Linked DNA regions of Lonchura striata. The protein of the gene in region 1 purifies or fractionates together with the protein of each later gene. This does not show direct contact. Links are inferred from orthologs where the notes say so. Each region holds a gene or a part of one and is shown on either strand. Other genes may lie near its edges. The genes, in order: RBM19 and FBXW11.

What was found.
Region 2: the proteins of RBM19 (region 1) and FBXW11 purify together in Homo sapiens (affinity purification with mass spectrometry; 3 studies listed by BioGRID and IntAct, with this or other methods). This does not show direct contact. The link is inferred for Lonchura striata from reciprocal best matches to the Homo sapiens genes RBM19 and FBXW11.

Annotation. Positions count from the first base shown.
Region 1 is NC_134620.1:5,705,922-5,709,824, forward strand, and holds the start of RBM19 (putative RNA-binding protein 19), read right to left. Parts: upstream 2,734-3,903; 5' UTR 2,617-2,733; coding exon 2,581-2,616; intron 1,961-2,580; coding exon 1,778-1,960; intron 1,392-1,777; coding exon 1,260-1,391; intron 1,070-1,259; coding exon 1,031-1,069; intron 385-1,030; coding exon 180-384; intron 1-179. UniProt on the Homo sapiens protein: Plays a role in embryo pre-implantation development.
Region 2 is NC_134617.1:17,022,139-17,026,041, reverse strand, and holds the start of FBXW11 (F-box/WD repeat-containing protein 11), read right to left. Parts: upstream 3,158-3,903; 5' UTR 3,112-3,157; coding exon 3,067-3,111; intron 1-3,066.

The DNA.
Region 1 (3,903 bases):
CCAAATATCAGACACTGCACGTGCCACAGCTCCCCAAATGTGGGCAAACAGGCAGACATTGCCAGCACGCAGAAAGGTGAGAGCCCACCCTCCTGGTGGCACTGAGCCCAATCTGTCACTCCTTGTGGCAGGAGTTACTGTGACTGACACAAGCAAAGGCTCACAGCTCCCTCGGGTACCTTTAATCTCCTCCTCATCTTCAGAGGGTTCATCCCCACCCTCACTCAGCTCCTCAGACTCATCTGAATCAAAGTTCAGGTAATCTGCTGCTGCTGGTTTTGCCTTCTTAGGCTCTTCTGCCAAGGTGTCATTAGCCCAAGTGGCCACCTGGGACCGCTTCTGGTGAACCCCCAGGAACTCCTGGAATGTTTTATCTTCCTTTAGCTGTGGGAAAGAAAAAAACAACCAAAAAATCAAAACAAAAAACCTCCAAACAAACAAAAAACAAAACAACAACAACAAAAAAAAAAAAAACCCAACCCCCCCCCAAAAAAAAACCCCAAAATCAAAACAAAACAAGAAAACCCAACAAACCCAAAAAGAAAAAAAAAAAAAACCCAAAAAAAGAGAAAATACTTATAGTGAATCTGAAATCCAAGACATCACCTCATTTCCAGCACTCTAAAACCAAAAATCCCTTAAGGGGAGCTCAATTTTCACTGACAAGGTGATTAAAGTCTTCTAAAGGTGTCTCATTCCTACTCTTTTTTATAATTGCTGTTTAGAAAATTTACTTTAGAGAGGAAAACAAAACAATAAAAAGAGGAAATAAAAGAGAAAAAAACAGGTAAGATAAATGTGACAACTCACATATGTTTAAACCCCAGAACTCTGAAACAGAGCAGACCTGGATGCAGTGTGTGCTCACAGGAGCAGCTGACCATTAAAAAATCCCTGTGTTGGGATTGTTAAAATTATTTTTTACACTGGAACTGGGCTGCCCCAGCCTGAATCAGCAGCGTGGGAAGTAGGACAGAAAAGAGCAGTTCAGCAGCAGGAATGCAGGGACAGCAGTCCAACCTCAACTCACCTCCTTTAAGTTATCCACTGGATCTTTCTTCTTTTTACCCTTGGGAAAAACCCAGAGAGGTTTATTAGAAGCACAGGCAATTCCAGCAGCACAGGGAACAGACCCTGAGGCACAGAACACCAGGAGTCCAGAATCTGGTGTGCCACCTGCTCTGCCCCTTCCCCACGGCCAGGCCACCCTCCCCTGGCACTGGCACCCAGCAGAGCCCCGGGAATCAGGCAGGACTCACCTTCTTTGTGCCTGCAGGAGCTGCACTTGCCAAGGGCTCCTTGGTCTGCTTCTCTGAGGCAGGGGCCTTCTGAGAGTGCTTGCTCCAGGCTTTGGGTTTTGTAGGGTCACCAAAAGACCTGCACAGCTCCACCTGGAATGAGTCAGGTCATTAAACACAGGGCTGTAACTGCTGGGGAACTCCACTCAGCAATTCCTGATGGGATGGAGGGAGTGTGCAGGAACAACTTTTACAAGCACAGAGCTACACATTCAATCACCACGGGAGAGTCAGGAGTGGGCAGGCACAGAATCCCAGGATGGTTTGGGTGGCAAAAGGCCTTAAAGTGCCACCCCCTGCCATGGCAGGGACACCTTCCACTGTCCCAGGGTGCTGCAAGCCCCGTCCAGCCTGGCCTTGGACACCCACATCTGCTCTGGGAATCTGCATCAGGCCCCCCCACCCTCCCAGGGAAGAATCTCCCCCTAAGACCCTATTCCTTAGGAGTCTCAGGGAGATATTTCTGGAGCTCAGCTCACCGTGAGTCTGGAGGTGTCGATGAAGCTTTTGTTGAAGTGGTTCAGGGCTGCTTGAGCTTCATCCTCTGACTTGTAGCCAATGAAGCCGAATTTCCGGAACCTTCCATCCTTGGTGTACTTGAGGCAGCAATCAGTGAGCGTGCCAAAGGCAGCAAAGAGCTTCCTGAAACGCTCCTCCTTCATCTGGAGAAGGAGGGAGGCAGCAGCAAGGGAAATCAGCCCCACACAGCCGCTGAGGACAAGTCCAACCCAACATATTCTGTCTCAAAAGCCTTCTGGAAGGCTGCAGGAAGCACACTGGGAACCAAATCCCCACTTCAGCCACCGAACCTGCTCTTGTACCCAGGAATCCGCACGTGGGGATGGGGAACAGGGCGGGATCCTGCCGGGCACAGGAGCACCGAGGGCACCTGCACCCAACTCCCGGACAGCGAGCGGGGCACAGCGACCACAACGAGCACTGCCCATGCTGAGGGGCTGCCAGCCCATGCCCCTCATGCTGCTTCCTGCACATTCCTGACTCCTCCAGGAGCTCTCCCACCATCCTCCCCTCGAAGTGTCCCCATGTTCCCCACCCCAGCACTGACCGCGACCCGCATCCCCTCATTGCCCCTTCCCCCGGCACATCTCCTCCAGAAGCTCACCCTCCCACCACTCCTAACCCTCTCTCCTTGCGCGTCTCCCCACTCTCCCCCATCCCTACCACACTCTCCCCTCCCGCTGCCTCTCCCTGCCCGGCATTCCGCTTCCCCCCCGCAGCACCCGCAGCCCCATCCTAGACCCGGCACAGCACAGAGCCTCACCCCATTGGGGAGATTCTTGACGATGAGCCGCGACATGGCAGCGACAGCCGGCACGGAGAGAGGGCACGGAGACAGCGCTCAGCGCCGCGCACGCCGCGCCACGGGCGCCGCCATCTTCCCGGGTCACGTGGGCCGCGCGCGGCGCCGCGCATGCGCGCGGGGACCCGGATGTTGGTCCTTAGCAACGGCCCCTTAGCAACGGGGCCTGCGGGGCGGCGGGAGCGGCCCCGGCCCGGGCGGCCCGGCGGGGCGGGCGGCGGGAGGAGGCGCTGGCACCCCCGCTGCTCCCCGCGGAGCTCCCCGCGGAGATCCCCGCAGAGCTCCCCGCAGCCTCCCGGCCCGCCCGCGCTGCTCGGCGGGGCCGCAGGAGGGAGCTCCGCGCCCGCCGCTCCCGCCTCCGGCCGGCCGCTGAGCCAAAGGCTCGCCAGAGATGTCGAGTTTGCCTTTGGGTGTTATAAATGAAAATTTGTCCAGCCAAATTAAAATGGAAAAAAAAATATTTGTTTTGCAATTCAAATTCTATCTAGCCAGCCACAAGGAAAGGACAGAGCCGAGCCCGGGGTCGGCCCCGGGTGTGCAACAAGAATTCAGCCTCAGCAGAGGTTTCACTCTGTGCCCACACACCTCCATCCTGGCACAAGCGGTTTTTATGGGGAAAATTTCGCCTGAGGCCAAGATTTCAGCAATCAGTCTTTTCTTCCATTCAGAGTCCATATTTTAATAAGATTTTCCTCTTTTGGTGATGAAAAACAATTCAGTGTCCAAGTTGTTGAATCCCTTGATGGAATTTATGGGAACGCTGCATTCACATGGATCTGCCCGAGGATTTCCATGAGATCCATCTCAGGTCATTCTCCCTTTTACCTGTAAATCGGGTTTCAACATACACCAGGTTTCTCCTGCGAGGGTGGGGGCACTCCTAATACAAACGTGTATACTCCAACAAATATTCAATATCACATATATCATATTAGAAATGGCGTGAATTATATCTACTACACATAACGGGGGGATGGCACAGAGAGCCTCAATGTCACACCTAGAAGTCATGCAGAAGGGGGACAGAGGGTCTAAGTCCAGGAAAACTCTGGATCCCTGGATGTTTTCAAGGTGCCAGGTTGGGATAGCAGAGGGTGTCCCTGCCATGGCAGGGGATGGAGTGTGATGAGCTTTAAGGTCCCTTCAAATCCAAACCATTCAGTGATTCTATGAATAAAAGCAGATTCACTCCAAGGCACGGCTAAATAACCCCACAGCCAGAGGATGCTGTGTTGTGAGAGCTCCAAAATCACAGAATAAAAAGAATCCCTGGAGGGTTACTAA
Region 2 (3,903 bases), on another chromosome or scaffold:
TGGATTCCTGCTCAGGAGCCATGGTGGGTACGGGAGCCTGGGAGCAGCAGATTTATTTTGTTATGCCATCCACATCTCACAGTGCACAGCTCACCAATAAATGTATAAAAGGCCTCCCAAACTACGTGCCACACTGATGTATTCTGTTACAACAACCTAAGCAGCTAACCCCCTCACACTGTGAAAGCTGCTGGTAACACTAAATAACAATTATGGAAAGCTTCCTGGGAAAATTAAGAACAGGCTTTTAGCACATATTGAAGGTAAATGCAAATCACAGGGTTGATGCAACTGAACACAGATTTTATACACAACTCTGATCTGCAGGTAACAAAACTTATTTCACAAAGCATTGCAGTTGGTTCTTCAAAAGAGCAAAAAGGTCACAGTTATCTAATTTCACTGAGAAAACCAAAACCAGGGGCAGAACGAGCCCTTTCAATGAGTGGTCCTCCATCTGTTCTGGATTACCTCCTCACTCCTCAGCCGCCTGCTGACACCCAGCATTTCCCTGAGCCCACGACTGAACCAGCCCCAGCCCTGCCAGACACAGGGAGCCTCAGCCTGGGCAAACCAGTCAGTCCCAGCTAACCTCGGGGGTATCCCACCCATACAGGTGGGCACCACCTGCACGTGGAAGCTGTGAATGGCATCACTCAATGCTCATCCCCCTGGGAATGACTAAGGACAGCATCCACAGAAGCAGCACACAGCACGGGAAGAGTTCAGCTGATCTGAGGGACACAGTGGCTTGGGAATACTCACTAAAACTTCACACAGCAAATCAAAGTTGTCACTCTGAAACTTTGAAATATTTATCTGAGATTCCAGCCTTAAAAATAGAACAGTATTATTTCCATGACTGATTTTCCTTTAAATAAATGCAAATGATCAATCCGGGAAGGCACAGTTCAGGGCTAGAGCAGCATGTTCTGAAACTTATATGCAATTAACATGTTGACACATAACCTCTTGTTTATCAGCCCCTCAGAATTACAGTGTATTTGCTCCTCAGAACTTTCAGATCACACATTTGCTCCTGTATTTACTACAGATTCATCCCTGGCACTGGAAGGAAGCAATGCACCAAACCCCATCTCCCTGATCAAGAAGAGGTATCAAACATCTTTTAGGAATGTGGAACACTCTTAAAAAGAGCAGCATCCCCCCAAGTCTGCCAGGCAGGGAAGATCCTGGGTTTGGGATGTTTCCCACAGCACCAACTCCCACGTTTCCAGATCACAAAGAAATTCCCAACAGGGAACTCAGCCCAAACAGCTTCTGCCCTGTGGATTCAAACCAATCTCCTGGCGAATCTCCCCTTCTGCACCACATCAGAAGGCAAAACCTCCACATCTGCATTTAGGAGTGATTTTCAATGCTTTTAGGGAAACATCTCCACTCAAACATAAGTGATCTTGTGCAAGCCTCCACTAAGGTTAACATTAAATTCAACTACATTGTAAACCATTTATACATTGTATACCATCTTCTCCTGGCAACCACAGAATTAATTGTTCATCTCACTCAATTTTTATATTTATCAGTTTCTTATGAAAGAGAGAAAAGTGTATGTCTAAAACCTCCTACTACATACTAAAACTCCTATTAACCCCACAGATATTTGCACGGATTAGCACATTTCCCGGCTCCAGCAAGTGGAGGATACAACACTCATCAGCAAAAGTCCCATTTGCTTCCTCCTGATACAACCTGGCCGCAAAGAGGAGAGACTAAAATGGGAGAGCACTTGCGAAAACATGGAAAAGCGGTTTTTGAAAGTTGAGGGAGCCAAACCTTCCAGCTCCAAATGCTACCTGAGCAACTCACAGAACTCAAAGCAGAGGAGTGTTGGTGACTGTTCCACGGAAGGAAAAAACCAGAGCCCAATTCCCAGGAATTTAGGAGGCATCTCTCAGGGTGGCTGGCCCTGAGCTGGATCCCCACAAAGCTGCCAAGCCTTGTCCTCCCTGCTAAGGGCACTGATGGCTCTGATGCCCCCCAGGGCAAGTGTGAGACCACAGCACCAGGGGAGGAGGCTCCCTAGGAACAGCTTTTAAGCCCCTGCCCTCAGTGACCAGTAACATTAATGAAAGATACACAAAGGCTTTCTACGTTCCTCTTTTTCTTTCTCATTTTATTTCTGCTTTTTGAGACCAGATAGCACACTTGAAGAAAGTTCGTATTTTCTGGATCAGGTAGTTTAGCAACAACTCAACTCGCTAAAAAACACATTTATGTCTCCACTGAACCCAGCTCACCTTCAGAGTGCATTAAAGGGAAATTATTTGCATTTTGCCCCTCAGTTCTGGAGAACTGTATGAAATTCTGTATGTGAGAGCAAATTACACTTAGGAGAAAAAGCAATTATGCTTCTAACAAATAAATTAGAAGATATTTACCGACTACTATTCTCTCCCTACTCCTAATTTAATTTTATTCACGCCTAATGCAGTAAAACGAGGAGTCTCCATTTGCCTATAGAGATCTAATTTGCTTATAGTAAAAAAAAAAAAATTCAGCACCTCTTTCTACTGCTCCCACCTGGATGCCTCTCCACTAACGCGAAATTAGCGGTGTAAGCGTTAATTAGGAGTATAACCAATACACCAATTAGGTCTCGTTAGGTAATTCCGAGTGTGCTGGACCGGAGCTGCAGCACCGGTGCTGCCCCGGCCCGGGGCCCCGAGGCTCCCCGGCGGGGTCTGATCCGCCCCCGGGGGCGCGGAGGGCTCCGGCCGGCCCGGGGAGGGGCTGGAGCCGGAGCCGTCCCGCCCGGGGCATTTCGCTTTCGGTTCGTGCCCCGGCCGGGCCCTGCCTCCCGCCAGGTTCATTGTAGTTATTTATTTATTTCCAATGAAACGCAGGCGCTCGTGGCGCCCCGGGCGGGCCGCGGGAGCGCGGCGGAGGCGGGAGCGAGCGGATCGCCCCGCGGGGCCGGCACGGGCCCGGCACAGCCCCGCGGAGGCGGCGCCGGACCCCGCGGGCCGGGCGCGCCGGCGGGGCCTGAGCCGGGGGGGGCGAGAGGGCCCGGGAGGGTGTGCGCGGGGGCCGGGGGCGACTCACCATGAGCTCGATGGTCTTGTCCTCGATGACCGAGTCGGGCTCCATCGCGGCGGCCGCTCCGCTCCGCCCGCCCGCCCGGCCCGGCCCCGCCGCCGCCCCGCGCCCGCCAGGCCCCGCCGCGGCCCGCCCGCCCCCGCCGCGCGCCCGCGCACGCGCGCTGCGCCCGCCGTGACGTCACGGCGCTCGCGGAAGGGGCGTGGCCCCGACGCGCCTGGCCCCGCCCCCGGGGCGGCTCCGCGCTGACCATTGGGCACGGGCGGCGCGCGGGGGATGCCGGGAGGGGAGGGGCGGGGCCGGGGCGCGGCGTGAGGGGCCCGCAGGGGAGCGGGAAAGGGAGCGGGAACGGGAATGGGAGCGGGAAACGGAGCGGGGAAACGGGAACGGGAAAGGGGAACGGGAGCGGAAATGGGAGCGGGAAAGGGAATGGGAAAGGGGAACGGGAACGGGAGCGGGAAACGGAGCGGGGAAACGGGAACGGGAAAGGGGAACGGGAGCGGAAATGGGAGCGGGAAAGGGAATGGGAAAGGGGAACGGGAACGGGAGCGGGAAACGGAGCGGGGAAACGGGAACGGGAAAGGGGAACGGGAGCGGAAATGGGAGCGAGAAAGGGAATGGGAAAGGGGAACGGGAACAGGAAAGGGGAACGGGAGCGGGAAAGGGAACGGGAAAGGGGAACGGGAGCGGAAATGGGAGCGGGAAAGGGAACGGGAAAGGGGAACGGGAACGGGAGCGGGAAACGGAGCGGGGAAACGGGAAAGGGAAAGGGGAACGGGAGCGGGAAAGGGAACGGGAAAGGGGAACGGGAGCGGAAATGGGAGCGGGAAAGGGAACGGGAAA